Saccharomyces cerevisiae S288C: one gene and its partners. Changing the gene in region 2 together with the main gene of any one other region gives a genetic interaction. Each region holds a gene or a part of one and is shown on either strand. Other genes may lie near its edges.

Evidence for each region.
Region 1: of ADE2 (region 2) and ADE8, changing one suppresses a phenotype caused by changing the other (phenotypic suppression), as found in Saccharomyces cerevisiae (one study listed by BioGRID).
Region 3: of ADE2 (region 2) and HAP1, changing one enhances a phenotype caused by changing the other (phenotypic enhancement), as found in Saccharomyces cerevisiae (one study listed by BioGRID).
Region 4: of ADE2 (region 2) and ADE4, changing one suppresses a phenotype caused by changing the other (phenotypic suppression), as found in Saccharomyces cerevisiae (2 studies listed by BioGRID).

What each region holds. Positions count from the first base shown.
Region 1 is NC_001136.10:1,287,715-1,294,205, forward strand, and holds ADE8 (phosphoribosylglycinamide formyltransferase), read right to left. Parts: upstream 1,146-6,491; coding exon 501-1,145; downstream 1-500. Other genes in the region: TRAPPII-specific subunit TRS120, read right to left, coding at 1-224; SUMO ligase SIZ1, read left to right, coding at 1,692-4,406; STE14 (protein-S-isoprenylcysteine carboxyl O-methyltransferase), read right to left, coding at 4,658-5,377; DFM1 (Dfm1p), read right to left, coding at 5,655-6,491.
Region 2 is NC_001147.6:562,653-570,531, forward strand, and holds ADE2 (phosphoribosylaminoimidazole carboxylase ADE2), read right to left. Parts: upstream 3,540-7,879; coding exon 1,824-3,539; downstream 1-1,823. Other genes in the region: GTPase-activating protein RGA1, read left to right, coding at 1-1,541; AFI1 (Afi1p), read right to left, coding at 4,225-6,906; ORT1 (Ort1p), read right to left, coding at 7,277-7,879.
Region 3 is NC_001144.5:642,042-652,736, forward strand, and holds HAP1 (Hap1p), read left to right. Parts: upstream 1-4,373; coding exon 4,374-8,882; downstream 8,883-10,695. Other genes in the region: SYM1 (ethanol metabolism protein), read left to right, coding at 1-16; CQD2 (Cqd2p), read left to right, coding at 586-2,295; NDL1 (Ndl1p), read right to left, coding at 2,363-2,932; YLR255C (uncharacterized protein), read right to left, coding at 3,559-3,912; YLR256W-A (gag protein), read left to right, coding at 9,076-10,398. UniProt on the Saccharomyces cerevisiae protein: Regulation of oxygen dependent gene expression. It modulates the expression of Iso-1 (CYP1) and Iso-2 (CYP3) cytochrome c.
Region 4 is NC_001145.3:865,043-872,676, forward strand, and holds ADE4 (amidophosphoribosyltransferase), read right to left. Parts: upstream 2,050-7,634; coding exon 517-2,049; downstream 1-516. Other genes in the region: DYN3 (dynein light intermediate chain), read right to left, coding at 1-308; ATP-binding cassette Fe/S cluster precursor transporter ATM1, read right to left, coding at 2,513-4,585; YME2 (Yme2p), read right to left, coding at 5,031-7,583.

The DNA of each region.
Region 1 (6,491 bases), on a different chromosome or scaffold from region 2:
TCTATGGTCAAGAAGTCGAAAAATAACTTCCCATGTGGAAAGCCTTGCGGTGTGAAGATAGGGCTGTCAATGGGGGTTACATCAGACAGATGAATTTCGTTGAATTCAGAAAGTTTCTGTACCGCATTATTAAACTCTTTTCGCGTCCAATGGCCAATTGGTATCACTAAGGTCCTAATCTTAGATGGGCCAACATAGCTTGGGAAATGCTTAAGAATATTCATGGTTTTTGTCTCCCTGTAACAGGTTGTGAGCCGCACCTTAAACCAGTTATACTAGAACCGTTTAAACTACAATCTGGCCTGATTTTAGTTTTGCAATAACACGATTAAGCGTTTACACATGCACATTCATATATAAGTATACGTATTTACACACATTTTATTCGAAACCTTTAAGATCGTTTTGTCACAATCCATGATCATGATTTACGACGCGAGATGTTTCGCGCCTCACTTTGAAGAATGCCAAATATAAAAGTATAAATATGGGAACTATTCTTATTTGTGAAGCTGCTGTAAAACCTTATATGTAGCTTCTACAATCGCGATGTGCTCAGCATCGTGTACCCTTTGCTCGTACTGCTCTAGTGTTTCTTCGCCAGGTATGATTTCTAGCTTTTTTACCACCAATGGCTCACCCTTGTCGACCTCCTCGATGACATAGTGCACCATGCATCCGGCCGTCAGAGGCTTGTTCTCGTCCTGACATTTGCGCCATGCCATTTCAATTGCGTGTGTGGTACCATCGAAACAACCTGGTAGCGCTGGATGCAGATTTAATATCGGCACAGATTGCAGTTGGCTCAAGAAAGTAGATCCAAGGATCAATAACCAGCCCGCGCAGATGATAACGTCAGGCTTTTCCTCGAGCACTAGTTTTGCGAGGTCGTTCTCAAACTGGGATCTTGCCTTGGCCCTTGCGGCTTTGTCCTCCTTCGCAATACCCTTTGTATATGGGTATAGCGAACAAACCTTTGTGGGGATATTATTGTCCGCTGCCCTAGTTAACCCGTATGCCTTCTTGCTGGAAGATATGACAGAGACAATATGAGCATCCTCGCCTAATTGGCCCTGCTTTTGGGCATCGATCAAGGCTTGCAAGTTGGAACCTGAGCCCGAAATTAATACGACAATTCTGGCCATAGCTTTTGGAAAGATTATTGATGTGTGTTGGCTCTCACCTGCGCTTGCTGCAAGTTAAATCATCAACCTTGAGGCTAGGAGCGTTATTCAACTTTAGAAGTGTCTTCTCTTCATAAACTACTCTATATAACTTTCCTCTTGCTGGAATAAAAAACAGGTCAGAGTCACTAGCAACGAGTCACTCATTCGAATCCTTGCTGACGCTTTTAGTCTTTATGCTGAAATCTATCTTCGAAGTCGGAAGGAAAATGCATTTTTAAACTATCACTAGAACTACCATTTTAGAGCGAGCAGAAGGTTCCTCTTTTCTTAAACAAGTATAATTTTCCTTTTTGGATTGTACTTTATATTCTTACACTAAACGGCCCCTAGATGTCACCTGAGCTGTAGTCAATGTATACACCCATTCACCGCACCAGATAGTAAGTTGAAAAGTGTATCATCTTTAATATGAATATGAAAGAATGAAGTGGAGTTCATCCATATTTCACAAGAAAAGAAGACTCCAACTCAAACAGTTGAGTGTTCCATATACATTCTGTTTCAATGATAAATTTAGAGGATTACTGGGAAGATGAAACGCCTGGGCCTGATAGGGAACCGACTAATGAACTAAGAAACGAGGTGGAGGAAACCATCACTCTGATGGAACTGCTGAAAGTGTCCGAATTGAAGGATATTTGCAGGTCTGTATCTTTCCCGGTTTCCGGTCGCAAGGCCGTTCTACAGGACCTTATCAGGAATTTCTTGCAGAACGCTTTAGTAGTAGGCAAGTCTGATCCTTATAGAGTTCAAGCCGTTAAATTTCTGATAGAACGGATCAGAAAGAATGAACCTTTGCCTGTTTATAAAGATCTTTGGAACGCTTTAAGAAAGGGTACCCCATTGAGTGCTATCACAGTACGTTCTATGGAGGGGCCTCCCACGGTGCAGCAGCAATCACCTTCCGTTATTAGGCAGTCTCCCACTCAACGGCGGAAAACGTCTACCACATCTTCCACATCTCGTGCACCACCACCTACAAATCCAGATGCCTCTTCTTCTTCATCATCTTTTGCTGTACCGACAATTCATTTTAAAGAGTCTCCATTTTACAAAATACAAAGGCTAATCCCTGAATTAGTGATGAACGTGGAAGTCACAGGCGGAAGAGGTATGTGCTCTGCGAAATTTAAATTGTCCAAAGCAGACTATAATCTATTAAGTAACCCGAATAGCAAACACAGGCTATACTTATTTTCTGGGATGATTAATCCATTAGGATCCCGAGGTAATGAACCCATCCAATTTCCATTCCCAAATGAATTAAGGTGCAATAATGTTCAAATCAAAGATAATATAAGAGGTTTCAAGAGTAAGCCGGGCACAGCTAAGCCGGCGGATTTAACGCCTCATCTCAAACCTTATACTCAACAAAACAATGTGGAGCTGATATATGCCTTCACCACGAAGGAATACAAGCTATTTGGGTACATTGTAGAAATGATCACTCCGGAGCAACTCCTGGAAAAAGTATTACAGCATCCAAAAATTATTAAACAAGCCACGTTACTTTACTTGAAAAAAACACTTCGGGAGGATGAAGAAATGGGCTTGACTACCACATCTACTATCATGAGTCTGCAATGTCCAATTTCGTACACAAGAATGAAATACCCTTCAAAATCAATAAATTGTAAGCATCTGCAATGTTTTGATGCATTATGGTTCCTACACTCCCAACTACAAATTCCTACGTGGCAATGCCCAGTATGTCAAATTGATATAGCTTTGGAAAATTTAGCAATTTCCGAATTTGTTGATGACATTTTACAGAACTGTCAAAAAAACGTTGAACAGGTAGAACTTACTTCTGATGGTAAGTGGACAGCCATATTGGAAGACGATGATGACAGCGACAGTGACAGCAATGATGGTAGTAGAAGCCCAGAAAAAGGTACTTCAGTATCGGATCATCATTGTTCTTCTTCACATCCAAGTGAACCGATTATCATAAATCTCGATAGTGATGATGACGAACCAAATGGAAATAATCCTCATGTTACTAATAATCATGATGATAGCAACAGGCATAGTAATGATAACAATAATAATAGTATCAAAAATAATGATAGTCATAATAAAAATAATAATAATAATAATAATAACAATAATAATAATAATGATAATAATAATAGTATCGAAAATAATGATAGTAATAGTAATAATAAACATGATCATGGTAGTCGCAGTAATACTCCCAGTCATAATCATACTAAAAATTTAATGAACGATAATGATGACGATGATGATGATCGACTTATGGCGGAAATAACTAGCAATCACCTTAAAAGTACTAATACAGATATTCTAACTGAAAAAGGTTCAAGTGCACCCTCGAGAACCCTGGATCCAAAAAGTTATAACATAGTTGCTTCAGAAACTACTACTCCGGTGACAAACAGGGTTATTCCTGAGTACCTCGGAAACAGTTCCAGTTATATTGGTAAACAATTGCCGAACATTCTGGGAAAAACGCCTTTAAATGTGACTGCTGTTGATAATTCATCCCACTTAATCTCTCCAGATGTTAGCGTATCATCCCCAACGCCAAGAAACACCGCTTCAAATGCAAGTTCGAGCGCTCTCAGTACCCCTCCCTTAATAAGAATGAGTTCATTAGATCCCAGGGGATCCACTGTTCCCGATAAAACAATAAGGCCTCCCATAAATTCCAACAGTTATACTGCATCGATATCAGATTCATTTGTCCAGCCTCAAGAATCTTCAGTTTTTCCACCACGTGAACAGAATATGGATATGTCCTTTCCTTCCACCGTGAACTCAAGATTTAATGATCCACGTTTGAATACCACAAGATTCCCTGATTCAACATTGCGTGGGGCAACTATTTTGTCGAATAATGGGCTTGATCAAAGGAATAACTCTCTACCAACAACAGAAGCAATCACGAGGAATGACGTCGGGCGACAAAATTCTACGCCTGTACTTCCCACGTTGCCCCAGAACGTCCCAATTCGTACAAACTCTAACAAGTCTGGGCTTCCTTTGATAAACAATGAAAACAGTGTCCCCAATCCTCCCAACACTGCAACCATACCGTTGCAGAAGTCCAGACTCATTGTAAATCCATTCATTCCAAGGAGGCCTTACTCTAATGTACTGCCCCAAAAAAGACAACTTTCTAATACATCCTCAACTTCACCCATAATGGGTACATGGAAAACGCAAGATTATGGAAAGAAATACAACAGTGGTTAAAAACGAGGCTAAAATTGGACGGTTCCGTCCAGCTCTTTCATGAAATATTTTCTTTGTAATTGTGCATATGACCTTCATTTTCTATAATTTTCCGTTCGAAAAAGAAATATTTTCTTCTTTTCAATACTCAAAGGCAATATCACTGTTTGCATTCCCCTAGCATTTATTACCTACCAAATACAGATGCACAAGATTAGATAAAATCTTACATAACACAAAAATCCAGTCCATAACTAACACAATCATTACTATTATATAAAAGGTATTCCGACACCAACCTTATTCTTGTATTCTATGTATTCCGCGCTAAAGAACTCTATCAAATATTTTTCTTCCACACGAATTCTATCACTGAAAAATTTCCAAAGTACAAAAATGAAAATAACCAATGATAGGGGATTTAGAAGCAGTAGCTGAGTGCCAATTGCCCACCAAAAGAACCCAAGATAACTTGGATGTCTTGACCAGGAGTAAACGCCAGTTTTCACTAAAACATGATCGGACTCCTTCTTGGTCTTCACAATATGAGAAAAGGAATGTCCCGCAGTATGCATAGCAATAGTTCTGGTATATTGTCCCAGAATAACTAGAAGACATCCAAGTACTGTACAAAGCTTGGTAGCTAGAGAGTAGCTAAAAATTTTCAGATCAGGAAAAAGAAAGCTTTCTACGAGGCATTCCAGAATAGCAAAGGAATGTGCCGCCATGTAACTTTTGCCGTTGTTCAGAAGAAAGGACTCTGAATGTACCTTAAGAGGATTGTATTTAGCTGTAATATAATACTCCAAAAAATGGAATAAGGACAGGGCAATAATAAAGAGGTTAAAATTCTTGAATCTAATTTGTGGAAAAAGACCAACAAATATACCTAAAAGAATCCCCAGTATGTAGGAAGTCATGGTCACCTCATGCAGCGGATTGCGTCTGATGTCTGGATACTCATGCTCGTCTTCTTGAAAATCTTGGTGCATGTTGTGTTCAAAAACGGTGACCACAATGAAAGAGGAGGTAAAAAGAGTAATTATCTTGAAATCGATTTTCACTTTCTTATATAATTCATCAACACGAGAACCTTTCTATATACTGGTGGTATCATGTAAAGAATTGTTTTACCATAGTGGCCCATTTGTCAATTCGTCTTGAGTGATGTTTCATTATCAATCGGTTGCTATGCCAACGAAAATACTATGTCAGACTCTCTTGATGTATATAATGAATGGCAAAGTACATAGAAATAGATAAAAGTTGTTATTGTGAGTCGGAGGGGCTGTTTGTTTGTCCTACTCGTTGGCCGCGGCCTTGAAATTGGTTCAAATTCGATGGGCCACTTCTTAATTGACTTCCAGAAGCTCTGCCTGAATCTGTGCCACTGGTTTGAGACAATGTTGCAGGGGCCGTACCCAATCGTTGACCTCTTCCACTAAAAGTTCTCGTTTCTCTTTGCGAAGATGGCACATTGGCAAAGTTGTTGTTGAATGTTGCAGTTTCATTGTGGGCACCCGTTATGCGAGCATATAGACTAGTAAACCACCATGGCGTTGAGAATTTCCCATTGGGCGAGATTCCGTAGGTTGGATCAGCTTTTCTGGATATCATCCCCCATATTGGCCCCAGTGTATGGGTATCTAAGCATGTATAAAGGTACCCTGTAGTAAAACCGATCAATGAGATTACGAAATCACCCTCATTAAAAACGAAAGAGATAAACAATTGAATTAAGGGGAAGTACTTCCCCCAAACAGGAATCAAACCATAAAACATGATCTGCACGTTGGCATTGTCGATCGACCAAGTATATGTAATGCATGATATGAACCCAGAGGTGAGCACAACAGGGTAGTAGGACCCATAAATGATTGTAGTGGCCGTAGTGATGGCTAGTATACAAAAGCACAGGTAGTAGGCATAGTCTACTGTTACCATCGGTCCTCGTCTATTGGACAAACCGGGACCAAAATGCCCTCGCTCCAACTGTGAGGACCTGTCATAAATACTATATAGTTCCATTAGCGCAGGCATGGCACGAGACGAAAGCATTACACAAGAAGTAAGAAGTCTCCATATCTGAACCTTCTTGAACGTCAA
Region 2 (7,879 bases):
ATAATGGCACTCTTAGGGTGACTAGTGGAAAGGAAACCGCCCTTGAAGAACAGAAGAATCACAGTTTTAAATCTCCGTCACCAATTGATCATTTGTTACAATCGCCAGCTACACCAAGTAATGTATCCATGTATCGAACTCCGCCTTTAGATAGCTCATTGACATTTGATAGGCGGAATGGGTCTTCATACAGTAACCAAAATTATAGCATACCTAGTTGGCAGAAAACTCCAAAGACCCAATTGGAGAATAGCGACAATTTTGAGGAACAGAAGGAAACACTTTACGAAAATAGCGAATCTAGAAACGATCCCTCGCTTGATAAAGAAATTGTCACGGCAGAGCACTATCTGAAGCAATTAAAAATAAATTTGAAAGAACTTGAATCTCAAAGGGAAGAATTAATGAAAGAGATCACTGAAATGAAGTCTATGAAAGAGGCTCTACGCCGACATATTGAATCCTATAATAGCGAGAAAAATAAACTATATCTTGACTCCAATGAATTATCAAATAATCCACCGATGATAAATGAAATCAGCTTAGGTGAGTCGCCACCCGTGAAACATGTTGCAACTGCAAGTTCTGTAGCGCGAAGTTCTGTTAAACCAAAATTTTGGAAGTTTTTTTCATCTGCAAAGCCACAGACCGAGCAATCTATACAAGGTGTCAGTACAAATAATACAAATTCCATCGTTAAAAGTGCCCCAGTTTTGCTTTCTGCTCCCTCATCTGGTAGTAATTCCGGCCGTTTAGAAATTTCACCACCTGTGCTACAAAATCCTAATGAATTTAGTGACGTTAGATTAGTACCTATCGAGAACGATGCAAATATGGGACAAAGTAAAGATGGAGAAGAATATTTGGATGGAAGCAATTTGTATGGTTCAAGTCTCGTTGCTAGGTGCAATTATGAAAACAATGAAATACCGATGATACTATCTGTCTGCATAGATTTTATTGAATCAGACGAAGAAAATATGAGATCGGAGGGCATTTATAGAAAATCAGGTTCCCAGCTAGTCATAGAAGAAATAGAAAAGCAATTTTCTGCATGGAAAGTACAACAAAATACCGAAACGCCAAATATTTTAACGGAACAAGATCTCAACGTTGTTACTGGTGTGTTGAAGCGATACTTAAGAAAGCTCCCCAACCCTATCTTTACCTTTCAAATATACGAGCCGTTGATGAGGTTAGTTAAATCTAAAAAAATGATGGAAAACTTGCCATTTGTTGGAGGAAAGTTGTCCTTAGAAGCAAAGAATTCGGACACTTATATGTCGAGCAAGAGCGCTTTAAAAAACATATTGGAAGACCTTCCAAGGGAACATTATAGGGTGTTAAGAGTACTGAGTGAACATATAGAAAAGGTTACACGGTACAGTCACTGGAATCGAATGACGCTTTATAATTTGGCTTTAGTTTTTGCTCCAGGTTTGATTCGTGATTTCAGTGGAGAAAAGGATATTATTGATATGAAAGAAAGAAACTATATTGTCGCATTTATATTTGGGAACTACAAAGATATCCTGACGTAGCGCTATCCTCGGTTCTGCATTGAGCCGCCTTATATGAACTGTATCGAAACGTTATTTTTTTAATCGCAGACTTAAGCAGGTAATTATTCCTTGCTTCTTGTTACTGGATATGTATGTATGTATAATAAGTGATCTTATGTATGAAATTCTTAAAAAAGGACACCTGTAAGCGTTGATTTCTATGTATGAAGTCCACATTTGATGTAATCATAACAAAGCCTAAAAAATAGGTATATCATTTTATAATTATTTGCTGTACAAGTATATCAATAAACTTATATATTACTTGTTTTCTAGATAAGCTTCGTAACCGACAGTTTCTAACTTTTGTGCTTTGACAAGAACTTCTTCTTCTTGCTTTAATAAAAACTGTTCCATTTTCGTTGTATAACTTGAATCATAAGCGCCAAGCAGTCTGACAGCCAACAGCGCAGCGTTCGTACTATTATTAATAGCGACGGTAGCTACTGGAACACCTCTAGGCATTTGCACAATTGAATGTAAAGAATCTACTCCATCTAGACAAGAACCTTTTACGGGCACACCGATGACAGGAAGTGGTGTCATTGCAGCCACCATACCTGGCAAGTGAGCAGCCCCACCAGCTCCAGCGATAATTGTTTTAATTCCACGCTTGCTTGCGGAAATAGCATATGCTGACATCCTATGTGGAGTTCTATGAGCAGAGACTATTGTCACTTCAAATGGAACGCCAAAATCTTTTAAAACCGCACATGCGGCAGACATTACCGGCAAGTCAGAGTCTGATCCCATGATGATTCCAACCAATGGTTTGACCATTGCTTCCAAGTCCAACTTTTGAGCGACAGAGATTTTGATTGGAATATCAGTTCTACCTGTAATGTAGTTCAGCCTTTGTTCACATTCCGCCATACTGGAGGCAATAATATTTATGTGACCTACTTTTCTGTTAGGTCTAGACTCTTTTCCATATAAGTACACTGAGGAACCTGGAGTCGCCAATGCTCTTTCGCAAGTTTCTAGCTCTTTATCTTTTGTATGTTTGTCTCCAAGAACATTTAGCATAATGGCGTTCGTTGTAATGGTGGAGAAAGATGTGAAATTCTTTGGCATTGGCAAATCCAATATTGATCTCAAATGAGCTTCAAATTGAGAAGTGACGCAAGCATCAATGGTATAATGTCCAGAGTTGTGAGGCCTTGGGGCAATTTCGTTAATAAGCAATTCCCCTGTTTCTAAATAGAACATTTCCACACCAAATATACCACAACCGGGAAAAGATTTGATTGCATTTTCTGCCAACAACTTCGCCTTAAGTTGAACGGAGTCCGGAACTCTAGCAGGCGCATAACATAAGTCACAAATATTGTCCTTGTGGATAGTCTCTACAATTGGGTAAGAAAACACTAAACCGTTAACAGATCTCACAATCATGACTGCTAATTCTTTAGTAAATGGTGCCCATTTTTCGGCGTACAAAGGACGATCCTTCAGTACTTCCAAAGCTTCCGGAATCATTTCCTTATTCTTTACAACGAAGTTACCTCTTCCATCGTATGCCAAAGTCCTCGACTTCAAGACGAATGGAAAACCCAAATCTCTTCCAACATTCAATAGGGACGTCTCACTGGCTTGTTCCACAGGAACACTTTGGGTAACTGCTATACCATTTTTGATTAAATGCTCTTTTTGAATATATTTGTCTTGTATCAATCTGATTGTTTCTGGAGAAGGGTAAATTTTTAATTTGGGATGTTTTACTTGAAGATTCTTTAGTGTAGGAACATCAACATGCTCAATCTCAATCGTTAGCACATCACATTTTTCAGCTAGTTTTTCGATATCAAGAGGATTGGAAAAGGAGCCATTAACGTGGTCATTGGAGTTGCTTATTTGTTTGGCAGGAGAATTTTCAGCATCTAGTATTACCGTCTTAATGTTGAGCCTGTTTGCTGCCTCAACAATCATACGTCCCAATTGTCCCCCTCCTAATATACCAACTGTTCTAGAATCCATACTTGATTGTTTTGTCCGATTTTCTTGTTTTTCTTGATTGTTATAGTAGGATGTACTTAGAAGAGAGATCCAACGATTTTACGCACCAATTTATACATGAAATGCTCCATAATATTGTCCATTTAGTTCTTAATAAAAGGTCAGCAAGAGTCAATCACTTAGTATTACCCGGTTCGTAGCCATGCAACAAGAGTCATTTGTCAGCATAGCTGTAATAATCAATCATGACGTAAGAAATGTATCATAATTAAAAGTTGTTAAAGATGTCAGTGTTATGTTGGTGTTACAAAATTCTCGGCTTCTCACTAATATTTAATATCTCTTAAATTTTATCTGTCTTTGATTCTTTTAAGAAAAGTTATGTATTATTCAAGAAAAAGTCAATTCCGCATCAAAAGGTAAAATTTATATAAACTGCTTTAAAATTTCATGAAACTAGGCAACTTTTCGAAATGATCTTTTTCGAGCATGAAGTTTCTTTTATAATAACCTGGTCAAAAGCTTTCAATATATAATACATTTGGTATTTACGGAAATGAGATGATATACTGGTAGTGCGCTAGTCAAGTTCTAATTAAATTAAAATGCAAAATAGTAATGTCAGATGGACACATTGGGCGAAATAGCTAACCCATAAGCATGAATCCTGTAACTTATGTAATACGTTAATCACGATACGGCGTTACTAGTCTTCCTTTTGAGTGGTTTCTAATGTAGATTCTTGTTGTTCGTTAATTTGCTTCAAGCCGTTTAGCATTCCTGATTCGTTTGAAGATAGAGGAACAGATGCGCCAGCGAAAGATGATGATGCAATGGTAGAGGAAGTGTTGGTCGAATCTCCCTTTTTGGAAATAAAGTGTCGTTTTGATTCTAGATAGGCTTCTCGCAATTGATTGTGGAGATACTTCTTTAAAAGGGCCATACCTATGGGATGACATTCTAACCTATAGAGTAATTTCGTAATAGCATAGCAGATTTTTGACGCCCTTCTTTCTAGTAGAGGAGAAGCCCTTAGCTTGGGTGAGATGACTGAGGATGCGTTTGTAAATTCGGGATAATTGGAATTTCCAGTACCCTGCCCATTACCTCCCAGAATCCTTATATTAGGGCGTGTACTCAGTTGTAAAAACTGTCTCAATGAAGAAGATTGAGCAATTCTGGTCAAATACGTTCTTCTCCTGGACAGAGATTTTGTGAAGGGCAAATCCTGCCCACTTTCTTTTGTAATAAATGTGAGGAAAAACGCCAAGATATCAAAACTGTAAATTTGAGTAAAAAGATCTATTGCTGATACTATAACACCGTGGGGATCTTTTTCGATGCCCATATAGCTGTTAAAATTATCGAAACCCTGACGCACTTCGCTTTCAAAACTCCACCTAGAAATATTATCACCGTGTAACTGAGCTGTGGGTAATATTTTGAACGGAGAATAGTTCAAACAAGCGTTTAAAAACTTCTCAATGTTTGTCCTGCTTACCGATACCATGCGAAACAGCTCTTTAACAATGTCCAATATTTGGCTTAATTGGGAATATATTTGCTCTGTGGAAAATAACTGGCATGTGTTTCCTAAGCTAAATAAACAATTATCCAAGTTAGACAATAGTTCAATACTATGCAGTGTAAAATAATCAAAGAACTCCGGGAAAATGAAAAAATCTTTATAAAACATGATATATTCATCTTTTAGTGCTATATTAGGTGGAATTTCTCGTCTTTTCAAAGCGTCCAGAAGGTTTTCCAACTGAAGAACATTCAGCCTTCTCAAAACGCTCATGATAGTATCACTATCATGATATTCGTCGATAAGAAGAGAAAAGAGCTTCTGGCCCAAGTTTACCTGACTTTCGTTGACTGCGTTGGTTGAGAAATGAGGCCTATTGAATATCTTTCTCAAAGGGTTAGGCCCAATCTTCACTTCTGCCACTGTATCTGGCTTTTCTTTTTCTGGACTATTATTTTCATAAAACACTCCCTCATCCACATCGTAGTAATAATCCCAGATATCTAACTGGTATCGGAAAATTGGATTGGCAGTTCCGATAATTGCAAAGCATCCGACAAAATCACTATTCGATGCTACATACGCCCGCAAACCGTCAACAAGAGAAATGTCCATATAGGGAAAAATCAACGCAGCATTTCCTTTGAAGTATGATTGTGGATCGCTAGCATAAGTTGCCGTTATGTTGGCTAATGACAAAATAAAAGCGCATAGGTCTTCTTTACTCAGTTTAGTTGAATTGATGACTAACTTCCATGCATTAACTTTTTGTCCGGCTTTAAGAAGGTAAGGGACAAATTTATCCAAAAATTTTAAAACTAGTTCATTATAATCATTTTCAATATAAATAGGCTCTCTTCTAATCATATTAAATTGCAATGGGATTTTTAACAAAAATGGCGGGAGCGTCTTTGGCTGAAATCTTGTAAAATGATATTGAATGAGTTGGTCATGAAAAGTCACAATGTTACCATACTTGTCCTTAGTGTCAAATCCATTGATGCAAAAGAGTTTCTTTAAAGTGGAATCCGGGTCTAAAAATACTTTGGTAATGATAGATTCGTCATGGATAGAGTGTAGCACTTCTTGTATACTACTTTTGGAATGTATGTCATTAATCAATGTAAGGTCAATACTGTTTAGCATATTAAAGCAATCAAGCAGTATGTCTGTAGCAGCAGCTTGAGTGGGAGCTTTCATATACAAGTCTAACACTAATACAATAATATTTTTGAATGCAAAGAAGGTTTTTAATGGTGTTCCGATGGCAATCGACTTGATTACTGCCCCTCTATCGTTCGTGGTGTCTAATACTGTGTTGGCGACATTTATGAAAAATAAAGGTTCGTTGTCGATGGCTTTCTGATTATTCTGAACTTCCTGGCATTCGAGCTCATCATCTTCCAAGACAATAGTGTATCTATTATTTTTTGCATCTTGATGATTTTCGGCATCGTAATATATGCTATTGGTAACACTACCATCTGACTGTTCACGATGATGCAGATTGAAACTGAAACGAGGGTCTTTTGGCACAGGAAAGAGTTGATAGTTTTGAGTAAACTTATTGTAATAAAGGGTAAACACTGTAATATCTTGTTTGCCGGGATTTCTCTCTATGCTACTCGGTATCATTAAACTTGCCAAGTTCATAGACACCGACGTATTGCCGTTGCGTTGCTCATGTGAGAACTGATTGAAACCTGGAATATCTTTCGGGTATTGGTGCTTCAAAATAGGACCTAATTTATTATCAAATTCTGCGGATATTATATAGCTGACATTCGGCCTTTCAAAAGGAAAGGATTCATTTTCTATCGACCTGTTGCTGATAGAGTTATTTAGTTCTCTTCGCAACATCCGGTAGCCAAAAATGTTTGCGTACCAAAGACTCTAACAGTGGGCGGTACTATGCTTGATCTTGATTTTATAGAGCTTGCACTTTTATAGAAGAACCATTGCTACCTAGACAGTTTTTTTTGTTTACATTCGAATCATTTTTTTTTTTGCATTTAGTTAAATCCGAAGTCCTGACTAGATAATTTACTGTCAGAGAATAGTAGCATCTATGCAAGAAACTGGTATACAATAGTCGAGAGGTTGTTGTAAAAAACACAAAATACTAACACAAAGCCTGGCTGTTGAGATTGTGCGACATTCTTGATCAGTAAATGGTATTACAGACTGTCTATCAATGTTACATACTTGCTTATTACACGATTTATTGTATTTAAAGTGCAGAAAGAGTCTCAAAGATGTAAAAAACTGCAGCGTTTGCTGGTACTGCCCTAAAAAGGGTTATACCCAGTCCTCGATAAAAACCCTTTAGTCCAAATTTGCCAAATATCTTCTTCACCGCATTGGTGAGGCTTATATGTTCAGTTTGCATTACTGATTTCACAGTATCCGCAGGAAAAATACTGGCGTTGAATGCCAATCCAGCGCTCCCTCCACTAATAAGTAGTTCCCATATCTTACTTTCATCTCTTTTTGGGTCATCAAGGGAGTGCCTATCTTTCAACGACTTCTTAACTATTTCGTAGGTTGCAAACCAGGCAACACCACCGAAGCTTTCTCGAATAAAAGTGCCCGATTGCCCTTGCCACAATCCTGCCAATCCTCTCTCAGTTATAATTGCTTTTATTGTAGGCAACACCTTTGTATGTTTCGTTTTAGCTGATGCAACTTGTAAGTTCGCAACCTGCAACTTACACTTCACCAGCTCCACGGGTGTCAAAACTAAACTAGCACATGAACCCGCTACTCCACCAGAGATCAGGATTTGCCCCAACGGGGAAACGTTTGTATGTTTTTCTAAAAATTTAGAACATTG
Region 3 (10,695 bases), on a different chromosome or scaffold from region 2:
ACCCGTGGTCGAATAACTGGATAAGAAATCCTGATTTTGAAAATATTTGGAATTCAACTAGCATATTTATCAGACCTTGTTCCTTGGGGTACTGGAACAGCATATACCTAATAGACTTTCGGCAGAGAGCAGACCAACTTCATAAATATTTGAGTCACCAAAGTTGGCTAGCAATCTGCTTTTCCTTTACAGATGTGCTTGGTCAGGAACAATTTATTTAATTACATTCGTACTTCTTTTATAGAGGAAATAGTAGCTAACATTTCACTATTGCGGTCATGCCTGTTGTTCTTCAGCTACCGTTTATGCAAAGGTGTTTAATTAGGTGTGAGACTTAAGTGGGCCTTTTAGTACCACTGTGGGTTCTGGACCTTTATATAATATTTCATTTTTTCAAAGGTTTTTTCATATGCCGTTAAAAGAGGTCAAAACATAGACCCGAGGAACATATCTTGTAAATCGCTGCGTTATGTATGCATATTGTACTCCTACCTTCGTAACTGGAAAGAATCAGTCTGAAAGTTTATTGAGCCTGAAACGGAGCAAGATTATAGTTGAATGTTTCTTATTCGGTGTTGATAGTAGATGATGACCAAAGCTTTTTTTAACAAACTACCGTTTGAGGTATTCCGTCGGTACGTTAGGACAGGTAAAAGCATCCCTCAAAGAAGCCCCAGGACAAGAAAATCTCTTCTGGTGGGTGGGACTATTGCATCAGCAGTAGTTTTGTACAACTTTAATGACACTTTTCATGATTCTGTAAAGCACACGGCACTGACGACTAAAAGAATCGCTGTCGTCACACAAGCTACCACTCGTTGCTTCTACCATTACAAGAGGGCTCTAAATAAAAGCTATGAGAACAAAAAAGAACGAGAAGTTGCCTTAAATAAATGTCATAAGATGTGTGCCTTAATCACGTTGCATGCGCTACGATCGAATGGTGGGATATATATCAAATTAGGCCAGCACATTGGGGCCATGACCTACCTGTTGCCTAAAGAATGGACGGATACAATGATACCGTTGCAAGACCACTGTCCCGAATCCACCTACGAAGAAATTGATGAGTTATTTAAAGAAGATCTAGGCACCAGCATTGAGGATATGTTTTTAGAATTCAACAAAACCCCGATAGGTGTAGCTTCCTTGGCACAGGTTCATGTGGCAAAACTAAAAAATAGTGACGGTAAAGGTTCTAGTGTAGCTGTCAAATGTCAGCATCCATCGTTGAAGGAGTTTATACCATTAGATGTTATGCTGACAAGAACAGTGTTTGAACTGCTGGATGTCTTCTTCCCTGATTATCCGTTAACGTGGCTTGGTGATGAGCTTCAGTCTTCAATCTACGTGGAACTGAATTTTACCAAAGAAGCTGAAAATGCAGAAAAAACCCGTCATTATTTTAGTAAGTTCAAGAAGCAAACAGCATTGAAAATACCCAAGGTCATTGAAAGCCACAAAAGAATTTTGATTATGGAATATGTTGGAGGCAAAAGGTTGGATGATTTGGAGTACATTGACAGTCACGGTATCTCGCGCAGTGAAGTTTCGAGTTGTCTCTCTCATATTTTCAATAACATGATTTTTACTCCCAATGTAGGTATTCATTGTGATCCTCATGGAGGAAATCTGGCCATACGATCTGTTAAGCCCGCTAAAGATAATGGATACCATAACTTTGAAATTGTTTTATTTGACCACGGACTCTATAGATATCCTAGCACGAGAACAAGAAGACTTTATGCCAAATTTTGGTTGTCGCTCCTATTCGACAAGGACCAGACAAAAATGAAGAAGTATGCCAAAGGATTCGCAAACATCACCGACGAACAGTTTCCCCTTTTAGCGGCTGCAATTACGGGCCGTAGCATTGATGCTGCTTTGAATTACGACATTTCAACGAGTCGAACACAAGAAGAAATGGACGTCATGGCAAATGGGATCTTGGAAGGAACGTTACTGAGCGACTTGATGAGCATTTTGTCTAGAATCCCTCGTGTAGTGCTTTTGATATTGAAGACTAACGACCTAACCAGACATCTTGATGAATGTCTACAGAATCCACTCGGGCCAGAGAGGACTTTCCTGATCATGACGCAATACTGCGCCAAGACGGTCTACGACGAAAAAGTGGAAAGAATTAATTCGGAGTATGCGAGGTGGTCTATTAAATGGATGTGGGAGAACTTGACAAACTGGATAGTCTATGAGAGGCGTATTAATCAATTGTATTTTTATGATTTTGTGTTGTGGTGGAAAAAATTTATTCCGAAGACTTGGTTGTCATCTTAAATCGTTAGCGTTCTTTCTACTTGTAAATATATACGTAAAATTATATATAACAATTTTATATGTGTCATTAAACGGAAGACGTTGTTGCTATCACAGTGGATTGTGTTATTTGGGTATTTGGAATATTACAGTGACTTCTTGCAGCGTTGTTAGTTTTTGCCATGTTCTGCAAGTACAAGGTTGAAGATGTGGTCGAGACTTTGATAGTATCCTTAAACAACTTCATTTTTTTATTTTGACTGGGTAACGACCTGGTGTTCCTTCTAGTCTCACCGCTAGTGGCTTCTTCTTTGCTGACTCTTAACTTTTGCAGCGCCTCTTTGGTGTCGAGTAACTCGTGTTCCAGTAGAACGTTGCGTTCCAGTCGTCGGTCACTCTCCAATTGTAATGTCTCTATCTTATTCCTCAGTTGGATATTTTCATTTTCCAACTCATCTACCTGTATCTCTAAATCTGTTATCTGTTTCTTATTGCACTTATTTTGTTGTTGGCTCTCAAGAAGATCGCTTTTTAACTTTGATATTACTTGTTCCAAATCATTTTCATATTCTTTCGTGGCGCCTTCAAGCTCGCTCAACTGGGTCTCCAGTGAGGAGATTATCTGTATAGCTGTTTCCAAATCCAAATTCGGCACCATAGGAAAGTCGCAATTGTTGCACGTATATGTCCCTTGGATATTCCAATTAAATTTGCGAGGATTGTTCTTTCGGCCGTTCGTGGTTTGTTGTAGCCCTTATTATCCCTCTTTTTCATCCTTAATTGCAAATTTATGTATGAAAACTTTCATTTCTAATGTTATTAATTTTCCCGATTCTGCAAACTAATTGATAAAATAATTGATACTTGCCGTCACAGATGATATAGAGAACGTTCAGTTTTTTTATTGTTCTATTGTAAAAAAAAAAAAAAAAGGAAGAAAAAAGCAAGATCCGATAGGAGAAGACCTCTTTAGCGGCTTTACTGCGCTACAAATAAGGTTACGAATATGCGGAATAGTTCATGATACGTTGTTGAGTTATAGTATGTAGCCAATATTTCCTGTTTTTCCGCTGTTACCCTTTTCGAAGGATCGATGAACGCTTCTGTCACTTAGTAAGCAAATGTACGAAACCCAGAGCATTGTATGTACACCAGCAGTCGTTTTTTGTAGCTCTTTTCCATGGATGGACGATGATGGCAAGACGCGATCGTGGCGGAGCCTCACTAAGAAAAACAATTGTGGAGAATCTATACACACAGAAATCGTACTTCAAGAAATATTGATTAGCGAGCCTTTAAGCACAGAACAATCTCTATAGCCAACATCTTGTGGAAGCTACAACTGTTTTTCTTGTTCCCGCTTGAGTAGGGCCTTACAAGGCAAGACCGTATAAAATAAAGATAACTCCTCCGCCGTATCCTGAATTTCGTGTGCCCTTTCTCTCTCTCTCTCTTCCTCTTTCTTCCTTTCCCTTTCCCTCTTCTTCTTATCTCAACAACCGCCCAGCGCATTAGCAAACCACAGTACGAGCTGTACGGCTGAGCCACTGCACCTGTCTGGCTTGCCCCTTTTTGTTGAGTAACCGGGTAATAATTCGGCTGTCTAAACGATACAATCCTCGTTCCACCCACACCCATTCACCCGTCGGGCGAAATCCACCCTCGCGGCCTCGTTTAGAATACCAGGCAACGGCACCAGCAACGGCCCCGGTAACTCGATCGCGTTCATATATATCGGATATACTCTTGAGGCACAATTTTTTTCGGTTTTCGGTTTTTTCTATTATTCTTCGAGATGCAAAGCACACATTTGAGACTCACAACTCAAGATACCGCAAGCACACAGACGCTATTGTTCTCCCAAAGAATAGGTTCCTGCAGTGCTCTTTTAAGGTTTGAAGATATTGCACAAAATTGTATCTGATTTCATCTCATCGAACCTCATTCCATCAACTTCCTTTTATCAAAGCATCTTGTTTTGTTTTCGCAGAAAATTTTTCTTCCCTTTCAATTTGGCCTTTTAGTTTTTCTCCAGTCGCAGGCAAGAAGGTAAGGAAATAGAAGAAAAAGAAAAAAAAAAAAAGGGAACAATAGGTTAGATGTCGAATACCCCTTATAATTCATCTGTGCCTTCCATTGCATCCATGACCCAGTCTTCGGTCTCAAGAAGTCCTAACATGCATACAGCAACTACGCCCGGTGCCAACACCAGCTCTAACTCTCCACCCTTGCACATGTCTTCAGATTCGTCCAAGATCAAGAGGAAGCGTAACAGAATTCCGCTCAGTTGCACCATTTGTCGGAAAAGGAAAGTCAAATGTGACAAACTCAGACCACACTGCCAGCAGTGCACTAAAACTGGGGTAGCCCATCTCTGCCACTACATGGAACAGACCTGGGCAGAAGAGGCAGAGAAAGAATTGCTGAAGGACAACGAATTAAAGAAGCTTAGGGAGCGCGTAAAATCTTTAGAAAAGACTCTTTCTAAGGTGCACTCTTCTCCTTCGTCTAACTCCTTGAAAAGTTACAACACTCCCGAGAGCAGCAACCTGTTTATGGGTAGCGATGAACACACCACCCTTGTTAATGCAAATACAGGCTCTGCTTCCTCTGCCTCGCATATGCATCAGCAACAACAGCAACAGCAGCAACAGGAACAACAACAAGACTTTTCCAGAAGTGCGAACGCCAACGCGAATTCCTCGTCCCTTTCTATCTCAAATAAATATGACAACGATGAGCTGGACTTAACTAAGGACTTTGATCTTTTGCATATCAAAAGTAACGGAACCATCCACTTAGGTGCCACCCACTGGTTGTCTATCATGAAAGGTGACCCGTACCTAAAACTTTTGTGGGGTCATATCTTCGCTATGAGGGAAAAGTTAAATGAATGGTACTACCAAAAAAATTCGTACTCTAAGCTGAAGTCAAGCAAATGTCCCATCAATCACGCGCAAGCGCCGCCTTCTGCCGCTGCCGCCGCTACCAGAAAATGTCCTGTTGATCACTCCGCGTTTTCGTCTGGCATGGTGGCCCCAAAGGAGGAGACTCCTCTTCCTAGGAAATGTCCAGTTGACCACACCATGTTCTCTTCGGGAATGATTCCTCCCAGAGAGGACACTTCGTCCCAGAAGAGGTGTCCCGTTGACCACACCATGTATTCCGCAGGAATGATGCCGCCCAAGGACGAGACACCTTCCCCATTTTCCACTAAAGCTATGATAGACCATAACAAGCATACAATGAATCCGCCTCAGTCAAAATGTCCTGTGGACCATAGAAACTATATGAAGGATTATCCCTCTGACATGGCAAATTCTTCTTCGAACCCGGCAAGTCGTTGCCCCATTGACCATTCAAGCATGAAAAATACAGCGGCCTTACCAGCTTCAACGCACAATACCATCCCACACCACCAACCACAGTCCGGATCTCATGCTCGTTCGCATCCCGCACAAAGCAGGAAACATGATTCCTACATGACAGAATCTGAAGTCCTCGCAACACTTTGTGAGATGTTGCCACCAAAGCGCGTCATCGCATTATTCATCGAGAAATTCTTCAAACATTTATACCCTGCCATTCCAATCTTAGATGAACAGAATTTCAAAAATCACGTGAATCAAATGCTTTCGTTGTCTTCGATGAATCCCACAGTTAACAACTTTGGTATGAGCATGCCATCTTCATCTACACTAGAGAACCAACCCATAACACAAATCAATCTTCCAAAACTTTCCGATTCTTGTAACTTAGGTATTCTGATAATAATCTTGAGATTGACATGGCTATCCATACCTTCTAATTCCTGCGAAGTCGACCTGGGAGAAGAAAGTGGCTCATTTTTAGTGCCCAACGAATCTAGCAATATGTCTGCATCTGCATTGACCTCGATGGCTAAAGAAGAATCACTTCTGCTAAAGCATGAGACACCGGTCGAGGCACTGGAGCTATGTCAAAAATACTTGATTAAATTCGATGAACTTTCTAGTATTTCCAATAACAACGTTAATTTAACCACGGTGCAGTTTGCCATTTTTTACAACTTCTATATGAAAAGTGCCTCTAATGATTTGACTACCTTGACAAATACCAACAACACTGGCATGGCCAATCCTGGTCACGATTCCGAGTCTCACCAGATCCTATTGTCCAATATTACTCAAATGGCCTTTAGTTGTGGGTTACACAGAGACCCTGATAATTTTCCTCAATTAAACGCTACCATTCCAGCAACCAGCCAGGACGTGTCTAACAACGGGAGCAAAAAGGCAAACCCTAGCACCAATCCAACTTTGAATAACAACATGTCTGCTGCCACTACCAACAGCAGTAGCAGATCTGGCAGTGCTGATTCAAGAAGTGGTTCTAACCCTGTGAACAAGAAGGAAAATCAGGTTAGTATCGAAAGATTTAAACACACTTGGAGGAAAATTTGGTATTACATTGTTAGCATGGATGTTAACCAATCTCTTTCCCTGGGGAGCCCTCGACTACTAAGAAATCTGAGGGATTTCAGCGATACAAAGCTACCAAGTGCGTCAAGGATTGATTATGTTCGCGATATCAAAGAGTTAATCATTGTGAAGAATTTTACTCTTTTTTTCCAAATTGATTTGTGTATTATTGCTGTATTAAATCACATTTTGAATGTTTCTTTAGCAAGAAGCGTGAGAAAATTTGAACTGGATTCATTGATTAATTTATTGAAAAATCTGACCTATGGTACTGAGAATGTCAATGATGTAGTGAGCTCCTTGATCAACAAAGGGTTATTACCAACTTCGGAAGGTGGTTCTGTAGATTCAAATAATGATGAAATTTACGGTCTACCGAAACTACCCGATATTCTAAACCATGGTCAACATAACCAAAACTTGTATGCTGATGGAAGAAATACTTCTAGTAGTGATATAGATAAGAAATTGGACCTTCCTCACGAATCTACAACGAGAGCTCTATTCTTTTCCAAGCATATGACAATTAGAATGTTGCTGTACTTATTGAACTACATTTTGTTTACTCATTATGAACCAATGGGCAGTGAAGATCCTGGTACTAATATCCTAGCTAAGGAGTACGCTCAAGAGGCATTAAATTTTGCCATGGATGGCTACAGAAACTGCATGATTTTCTTCAACAATATCAGAAACACCAATTCACTATTCGATTACATGAATGTTATCTTGTCTTACCCTTGTTTGGACATTGGACATCGTTCTTTACAATTTATCGTTTGTTTGATCCTGAGAGCTAAATGTGGCCCATTGACTGGTATGCGTGAATCATCGATCATTACTAATGGTACATCAAGTGGATTTAATAGTTCGGTAGAAGATGAGGACGTCAAAGTTAAACAAGAATCTTCTGATGAATTGAAAAAAGACGATTTCATGAAAGATGTAAATTTGGATTCAGGCGATTCATTAGCAGAGATTCTAATGTCAAGAATGCTGCTATTTCAAAAACTAACAAAACAACTATCAAAGAAGTACAACTACGCTATTCGTATGAACAAATCCACTGGATTCTTTGTCTCTTTACTAGATACACCTTCAAAGAAATCAGACTCGAAATCGGGTGGTAGTTCATTCATGTTGGGTAATTGGAAACATCCAAAGGTTTCAAACATGAGCGGATTTCTTGCTGGTGACAAAGACCAATTACAGAAATGCCCCGTGTACCAAGATGCGCTGGGGTTTGTTAGTCCAACCGGTGCTAATGAAGGTTCTGCTCCGATGCAAGGCATGTCCTTACAGGGCTCTACTGCTAGGATGGGAGGGACCCAGTTGCCACCAATTAGATCATACAAACCTATCACGTACACAAGTAGTAATCTACGTCGTATGAATGAAACGGGTGAGGCAGAAGCTAAGAGAAGAAGATTTAATGATGGCTATATTGATAATAATAGTAACAACGATATACCTAGAGGAATCAGCCCAAAACCTTCAAATGGGCTATCATCGGTGCAGCCACTATTATCGTCATTTTCCATGAACCAGCTAAACGGGGGTACCATTCCAACGGTTCCATCGTTAACCAACATTACTTCACAAATGGGAGCTTTACCATCTTTAGATAGGATCACCACTAATCAAATAAATTTGCCAGACCCATCTAGAGATGAAGCATTTGACAACTCCATCAAGCAAATGACGCCTATGACAAGTGCATTCATGAATGCTAATACTACAATTCCAAGTTCAACTTTAAACGGGAATATGAACATGAATGGAGCTGGAACTGCGAATACAGATACAAGTGCCAACGGCAGTGCTTTATCGACACTGACAAGCCCACAAGGCTCAGACTTAGCATCCAATTCTGCTACACAGTATAAACCTGACTTAGAAGACTTTTTGATGCAAAATTCTAACTTTAATGGGCTAATGATAAATCCTTCCAGTCTGGTAGAAGTTGTTGGTGGATACAACGATCCTAATAACCTTGGAAGAAATGACGCGGTTGATTTTCTACCCGTTGATAATGTTGAAATTGATGGTGTTGGAATAAAAATCAACTATCATCTACTAACTAGTATTTACGTTACTAGTATATTATCATATACGGTGTTAGAAGATGACGCAAATGATGAGAAATAGTCATCTAAATTAGTGGAAGCTGAAACGCAAGGATTGATAATGTAATAGGATCAATGAATATTAACATATAAAACGATGATAATAATATTTATAGAATTGTGTAGAATTGCAGATTCCCTTTTATGGATTCCTAAATCCTCGAGGAGAACTTCTAGTATATTCTGTATACCTAATATTATAGCCTTTATCAACAATGGAATCCCAACAATTATCTCAACACCCACACATTTCTCATGGTAGCGCCTGTGCTTCGGTTACTTCTAAGGAAGTCCACACAAATCAAGATCCGTTAGACGTTTCAGCTTCCAAAACAGAAGAATGTGAGAAGGCTTCCACTAAGGCTAACTCTCAACAGACAACAACACCTGCTTCATCAGCTGTTCCAGAGAACCCCCATCATGCCTCTCCTCAACCTGCTTCAGTACCACCTCCACAGAATGGGCCGTACCCACAGCAGTGCATGATGACCCAAAACCAAGCCAATCCATCTGGTTGGTCATTTTACGGACACCCATCTATGATTCCGTATACACCTTATCAAATGTCGCCTATGTACTTTCCACCTGGGCCACAATCACAGTTTCCGCAGTATCCATCATCAGTTGGAACGCCTCTGAGCACTCCATCACCTGAGTCAGGTAATACATTTACTGATTCATCCTCAGCGGACTCTGATATGACATCCACTAAAAAATATGTCAGACCACCACCAATGTTAACCTCACCTAATGACTTTCCAAATTGGGTTAAAACATACATCAAATTTTTACAAAACTCGAATCTCGGTGGTATTATTCCGACAGTAAACGGAAAACCCGTACGTCAGATCACTGATGATGAACTCACCTTCTTGTATAACACTTTTCAAATATTTGCTCCCTCTCAATTCCTACCTACCTGGGTCAAAGACATCCTATCCGTTGATTATACGGATATCATGAAAATTCTTTCCAAAAGTATTGAAAAAATGCAATCTGATACCCAAGAGGCAAACGACATTGTGACCCTGGCAAATTTGCAATATAATGGCAGTACACCTGCAGATGCATTTGAAACAAAAGTCACAAACATTATCGACAGACTGAACAATAATGGCATTCATATCAATAACAAGGTCGCATGCCAATTAATTATGAGAGGTCTATCTGGCGAATATAAATTTTTACGCTACACACGTCATCGACATCTAAATATGACAGTCGCTGAACTGTTCTTAGATATCCATGCTATTTATGAAGAACAACAGGGATCGAGAAACAGCAAACCTAATTACAGGAGAAATCTGAGTGATGAGAAGAATGATTCTCGCAGCTATACGAATACAACCAAACCCAAAGTTATAGCTCGGAATCCTCAAAAAACAAATAATTCGAAATCGAAAACAGCCAGGGCTCACAATGTATCCACATCTAATAACTCTCCCAGCACGGACAACGATTCCATCAGTAAATCAACTACTGAACCGATTCAATTGAACAATAAGCACGACCTTCACCTTAGGCCAGGAACTTACTGAATCTACGGTAAATCACACTAATCATTCTGATGATGAACTCCCTGGACACCTCCTTCTCGATTCAGGAGCATCACGAACCCTTATAAGATCTGCTCACCACATACACTCAGCATCATCTAATCCTGACATAAACGTAGTTGATGCTCAAAAAAGAAATATACCAATTAACGCTATTGGTGACCTACAATTTCACTTCCAGGACAACACCAAAACATCAATAAAGGTATTGCACACTCCTAACATAGCCTATGACTTACTCAGTTTGAATGAATTGGCTGCAGTAGATATCACAGCATG
Region 4 (7,634 bases), on a different chromosome or scaffold from region 2:
ACCTTCGAACTATGTTCTTGTAAAAACGGCTTTAGAAGATCTAGTGCATCGTCAGTGTTTCTTATTAGCGTGTAAACATCGACAGAATAATTTTCCTTTAAGTCGTTGGTCCATCCTATGGTGGCGTAATTAATCAAAGTGGTATCCAGTATTGAATTGCTTCCCTCTGGAAAACAGATATTTATAAATTGATGCAGTGTTTTACTTGATGGGGAATATATGATTGCTGTTATCGTAGCAGTCTCTGTGCTGTTGATTGTGGATTCATTCTGAGACAATAATTTGTCCCAGGCATTACAATTATCCATTAATACATACAATTCTTTTATCTTCTTTTCTTTTTGTACAAGTTGCGGATTACTTCTCTTTGTTTACCTTTTTGCTTTTATTTTTTTTTTTAATACGTGCATATATATATATATATTTAGTTTAGGTCAGAATACAAAGATAATTATGTATAAATGGGCGCATTTGGAAACTATTTTACATACAACTGAACAAGTTCGGAACAATCTATCAATAATCTGCACAATTATATAATCCGATATCGACTTCAGCCTTCATATCTGATGAATTATTTGCGATCGATTCACGTTTTTCTTCCAATTCTTGAATATAACCGTCTTCAACACCAGTGACATAATTTCCGGTAAATACACCATCTTCGAATTTGGTTATTTTATCAGTTTTACAACAATCAATCAAATCTTCCAATGATTGGTAAATGACTCTTTCACAACCGATTACTTCCGCCACTTCTTCATCGGTTCTGTTATAAGCAATCAAGTTCTTTGTGTCTGTTAAGTCAATACCATAAATATGGTTGTAACGAATGGCTGGGGCAGCTGAAGCGAAGTAAACCTTTGTTGCACCGGATTCCTTGGCCATGTTAACAATCTCTTTTGAAGTAGTACCTCTGACAATAGAATCATCCACTATCAGAACCTTCTTACCCTTAAATTCAGACTCCATAGGGTTAAGCTTCCTCCTTACTGAAGAAACCCTTTCCCTCTGGTTTGGCATGATAAATGTCCTGCCCACGTATCTGTTTTTAACAAAGCCCTCTCTATAAGGCTTCCCTAACACATTAGCACATTCTAGTGCACATGTTCTTGCAGTATCTGGGACGGGAATAACAACATCAATATCTTCTGGCTTCAGTTGCTTTAGAATATTTTCCGCTAATTTAGAACCCATAGCCAATCTTGTGTGATAAACTGATATTCCATCCAAGACACTGTCCGGTCTGGCGAAATATACGTATTCAAATAAATCAGGTCTATAAGAGTTAATAGGAACCACTTGTTTGAACTCAGGTTCACCTTTGCTACAGTTCTTAGGGATGATAACTGCCTCGCCAGGCTTTAAGTCACGATATTTAGTAAAGTTGTGAGCTTTGAAAACAACACTTTCTGAAGCTAACATATAGTCCTTAGTGCCGTCCGGATTTTCTCTTTCACCGAACAATAATGGCCTAATACCATTTGGATCTCTGAAACCAAATAATGCAAAACCGGCAAGTAAACCAACGCAAGCATAACCGCCACGGCATAAACGGTAAACACCTTCTAACGCGTGGAAAACATCTTCATTGTTAACTCTGTACTTGTTATGTTTTTCCAGTTCAGCAGCAAAAATATTCAATAGTAACTCCGAATCACTGTCCGTGTTAATATGTCTATGAACGTCTTCATCCATATATCTCTTCAATGATGCAGTATTCACCAAGTTACCGTTATGTGCCAAGTTAATACCGTAAGGACTATTGACGTAAAATGGTTGCGCTTCTGAATTAGCCGAAGACCCGGCTGTAGGATATCTCAAGTGGGCAATACCCATGGAACCAGCAAGACCGGAAACACGTTGTTGGGTAAATACGTCACGAGCCATACCATTACCTTTACATTGGTAGATTCTACCACGAGAACCACAGGTAGCTATACCAGCTGCATCTTGTCCACGATGTTGTAGAAAAATGCATCCATCACATAACTCCGGAGCTACTGGAGTGGTTTGGTTTGCTAATACAATACCTAAAATACCACACATTTTTTCTATTCTGCTGTTTGCTGTACCTCTTTCTTTGCTAAACTTATTAGAACGAAATCTACTACTTTCAAGACGATGTCTTCGCAACTATGACTTAAAAGTGAATAAAATTGTACGGTGGCTGTTGAAATTTTTCTAAAATGAAAAAAAAAAAAACGAAGGACTTTACCTTGACTTAATAATAAGAATCTGAAAAGTACAAACCTATTATTGAAATTGTAAGTAAGCAAACTTTAAATACACCGAAGCTCTGACATTTGCCGCATGAGCAGTCATTCGGATTCATGATCCCAGATTATATTTTATTATTCATGTTCGTTCTAACTCTGTCCTGTTATTTTCGGTCAGGAAGAGTCAATACATCGGGTCATTGAAAAACCGCGGAGAAAGATAATAACTTTTCTTTTTTCCTTAAATCTTGAAAAACTTATACATGTATAAATCAATATTTACTTACGAGCGTTCATAGTTCTTGCTGGTCTTTTAGTTCATTCTCTAAATGATCCAGATCTTCTTGTATGGTCCAAAGTTCGCGGTACAATGACCCTGGCATAGCCAACAGTTCAAGATGCTTACCTTCCTCTCTTACTCTTCCGTTGTCAAGGACTATGATCTTGTCTGCATCTGCAATTGTCCTCAGTCTATGTGCGATGTATACACTCGTTCTCGAACCCGAAGTAAAGTTATCTCTAATGGTTCGTAAGAGAGCTTGTTCTGTGTGTGTGTCCAAGGCGCTTGTGGCCTCGTCAAAAAACATGATCCTTGCATTCTTCAATAGTACCCTTGCAATTGCCAGCCTTTGCTTTTCACCACCGCTGATCATCAACCCTCGCTCCCCGACGATGGTGTCAAAACCTTGTGGTAATTTCTTGATTAAGGGTGCTAGCTGGGCTTTTTCAACTACAGTTATCACTTCCTCGTCGGTTGCGTCAATACGACCGAACTTTACATTTTCCCAGATAGTGTCATTGAAAAGTGGTGTGTCCTGTGGTACCACACCAATCACCTTCCTCAAGGCATCGATGTCATATTCTTTAATATCTCTACCGTTTATGAGGATCCTTCCGCTTTCAGGATCATAAAATCTAAAGACTAATTTTAAAATGGTGGACTTCCCACTGCCCGAAGACCCAACTATTGCGGTTTTCCAGCCTGCTGGGATGGTAAAGCTGGCATTCTTTAAAATTTTCCTATCGGGATGATATCCAAACGTGACGTTCTCAAAAGTAATATCGTAGGGAACATTTTCTGGAAGCATTAAGGGACGTTCGGCATTTTTAATCTTGACTTCATTTTTTCTTAACTTAAATAGCGTTTCCATATCAATCAGAGACTGCTTTAAATCTCTGTAAACACTACCAAGAAAATTTAGCGGTACTGATAGTTGAAAAACCAACTGATTAATTAGAACCAAGTCACCAACTGTCAAGTTGCCACCAATAACGCCGGTGCAACCCATATACATCATTGCAGTTAGGGCAGTAGTAAAAATTAGATTTTGGCCGGAGTTCAAAAATGCTAGAGATTGCGATACTTTAATTTGAGAGTCACGATAGTTCATCAAGGAGCCATTATACTTATCTGCAAGATATTTTTCATTGTTGAAGTATTTTACCGCCTCAAAATTAATTAAAGAATCTAAAGCCACACTGGCAGCTTTGTTATCGGCCTTGTTAGCATCCCTTCTAAAATGTGTCCTCCATGCGGTCGTCTTTATAGTGAAAATGGAGTATAAAAGCATTGTACTGAATGTTATTGCGGCAAATGACGCACCGAATTGATACGTCAAAATCCCACAAACGACAGATATTTCAAAACTTATAGGGATAATGTGGAATACCATGGCCGTTAACACTTGAGATATACCCTTTGTACCTCTATCCATGGCCCTCGTCAGACCACCCGTTTGTCTACTCAAGTGCCATCCCAAATCTAACTTCATAAGGTGCTGGAAAGTTTGTAGCGACACAGTTCTAATGGCATTCTGTGCCACTTTGGCAAATACGGCGTTCCTCAGTTCGCCGAATAAAACAGAGCCGAACCTTGCAACACCATAGCAAAGAATGGTTAATCCAATCGCTGCCGGAAGGGCGACTGTAGGATCATCCCATGCTATATTCATTGAATCAATAGTTTGCTTGAAAAAAAAAGGTACTTGAACATTTAAAATTTTGGCGGATATCAACAGTCCAAGGGCAATCAGTACCCTTATCCTCACTTTATTGTTGCCTTTGGGCCAAATATAGCGAAATAGATCTTTCAAGATTTTCAGTTCCGAGAGGGTTGGGGCCTTGCTGGTCTTTTTTACCTGAGTCTTCACTTTTGGAGCCGACGAGAATTGCTCGACGGATTTTTTGTGCGTAATATCCTTTTGTGCTTGATTCCATAAATTCACAGCTGAATTGAATAACAGAGGCCGCTGGGTTGATAACTTAGACACAGTAAATATAACGGGCGAATGGTTCCGGATTAGACCAGATCTAAATTTTGATCTTACAATTCGCCCAATTACAGGACATCTTGGAAGAAGCAGCATTTGCAGGTTGGAGTGGAATCTATCAACAACGATATACTTACGTTGCTCTGTCGCAATTTTCGAAATTGTACTCTTTGCTGTGCTGATTGCTTTGTTTGCGATTATTAATGTAGAAAGTCATCGGAAAGCCCTCGCGCTCTTTCCCAGTGAAATTTCACGTGATGTAATCTGATGAAGGGCACGTATAGGTCAGTGACCTTTGCTGTGCAAATTGGGTAAGGTAATTTCTTTTAAAGACTTTAAGAATGGTAAAGTGAGGTACAACAACATATTATAAGACTTACTTGGTATGTACCTTACCTTCCTTAGATATTTTTCATGCTGCGTAGAAAATTGCACCATCTCCAATCGTCACTTTTATACATTTTCAAAAGAATATAGATGAGTATAGCAATATAGGGTTTACACATATGTACAGAAAAGCAGAATAGTAAGTTTTGTTTCATCACTTAGATAGGTTTTTAATTTCTTCTTCACATTTGGTAATGACTGCATTACTGGCATTGATTTTACCGGATAAATAGTCCAATCTGGTCTTGAAAAGTTTCTGATCAGGAACTTTCCCCAAAGGTTTTAATTCTTCTTCCCATTTCTTGATTCTACCAGTTTCAAAACCCACAACCTTTAATAAGTAACGGGTTTTTAGCACTTTTGCGAGTTCAGGATCGTTGATCAAGTATGTGAATGCTGCCCTGTATAGCGGTTTGGCAGGCCTGATTTCCTGTAAAACACCCCTATCTCTAGATACAGTTATTAAACCATTATTCTCCAATTCCATGATTCCCGTTTCTGGTGCGGCTTTGAATAATGGCTTGTTAACGATTTCATGGAATGGAATGACTGGGTTCGCACTCAATAATTCGATTAATTCCCAGGCTTGTGCACTTTTATTGCTGTCAATCTTGTCACTTAAAAACATTTGAGTTATTTGCTCAGAAGCCTGTTCAATCATTTTGTCTACTGCTTCCGAGGGCTCTTCTCCTGACTTTACCCTTCTTACAAATGCCTGTAAGTCTAACATCCTACCACCCAATGGCTCTAAAGAAGCGTCAATTTCCTGTAATTCCTTTTCATTTAAAATAACCTCAGCTTTTTTGACACTCGTATCGGCCTCACTATCAGAATCATTATTTTCAGCAGTTTCCTTTTCTGATTCAGGTTCTTTTACGTTTTCACCCTTGGATTTTTTATTGTAATATAAGTAATCCTCCAATTGGGATAATACATAGTTCCTCGAATTCTCTTTTGAGGCATCTGATAGGATTAGGTTTTTGAAGACTTGATTGGGTAGTGATTCGCTCAATCTTTGGTTGGATGCAACGGTTTCCGTTAAGAAAATCACATGAGCAATATTCATTTGAACTAGCATAGCTGCCCAATCGGATAGTTCCTTATACACAAATCCATTTATTTCCGACTTGCCCTCAAACCTATCTATGACGATAACGGGTTTAGCTTCCGGATGTTGCTGTAGGTAATCTTCTTCCTTAACATTAACTGTCCCATCACCGGTGGAAACAAAAGCCTTGTAATTCTTGAGAGCAATACGTCTAATGGACATCAATGAGGTAGTTAACATGTTTCTAAACCGAGATTCCTTCGTCTCAGACAACCCAGTTTTTTGCCCTGTTAATCCTTGCACTGTTAAATCAAGGACACCTGTGACAGAGTCAATCCATGGGAATATTGGGAAATAACCCAATTGACTAGCGGCATTTTTTAAAAACATAGGATCTGTTCTGGACTTAATCAATTTATCACAATCCAAATACAAAACATTTGCTCTATTTTGCAAAGTGTGTTGCATGACCAAATCATGTTTCCCTGAACCTCTAGGCCCCCTTATAACCACAAAAGTATTATTATTTTCTTCAAGCCACATTTTCAGGTCATTCACTTTCTCTATTCTTTCCTCCCATAAATGCTTTCTTTGGTGATTATCATCAGGGCCGCCCCAGTAGTACTTGATAGAAGTCATGGTAGATGAGGTTAGCGTTTTCAGTTGTTTCCAAAACTTATTGTCCCACGATAAAGAATATTTGTGAGTGATCTTCTGTTCAATCGAAAATTCTCTTATAGGATCAAACACTAAAACAGCAAAGATTGAAAGTAGCGCAAATAAAACTGGAATAGCAATCCTTGTATGGTTGGTGAAAAAATTACTAACTAGATGGCCTCTTCTGATATTTTCGTATTGTATGTGTAAGACGGTATTATGAATTTCGATACCGGAAACACAATTCTTGGCAGAAATGGCACCACGGAATGAACGGTATCTTACCTTTGCCACATTGTTGTTAGCAGCAGTGGGAGGGAAAATATCAATAATTGTCCCATATCTTCTGAATAAAGAGTATATTTCTTCTTCTGTTAAGGCGGGCCCTTGGAACTTGATGACTATAGTGGTACTTGGTAGTCTTCTTAAATCCTCAATCCAAGGCGAACCCTTTACTGGGAAGGCAGAAGCTCGAGTGAAGTACGAGAGTAAGTTTTTAGAGGATTCTCTGGCTGTATTCTGTTGGATTAGAGAATTTACCTGAGCTTTTGTATACTTGGGTGGAACGACAAATGTGGCAAATACACCACCATCCCTTTTCACTGGAATGGTAGACTTCAACTCCAGTCCATAAATGGGGTTATTGGGTGGACTGGCTAAATTCCTTATTTTCTCCCTCACTGCATCCCGTGACTGGTTTCTTAGCAGGAGATTGTACCACAGTGTTGGATTCCAAACCGAGGTGGTTCTAGCGTAAACATTATCGAAATATATCAGAGTTTCTTCATCTGATTTGTGAATAACACCAGTATCGGTGGCGGTGTTTGACTCTCCTGCCTGCTGATCCTTTTGCTGGATCTCGCTCGACACATGTCTCACTGAGGGTTGGGCATTCATCAGGTTCGCTAGTCTATATTTGCCCTTGAGGATGCCTATTCCTCTGGCGAGGCATGGCACTGGCATCCTTGACACATTCAGGGAAGTCGTTCGTACTAGCAACATGGTTTACTTTTACAAATACTACTTCCTGTATAGGCCCGCTATATTTTGGTT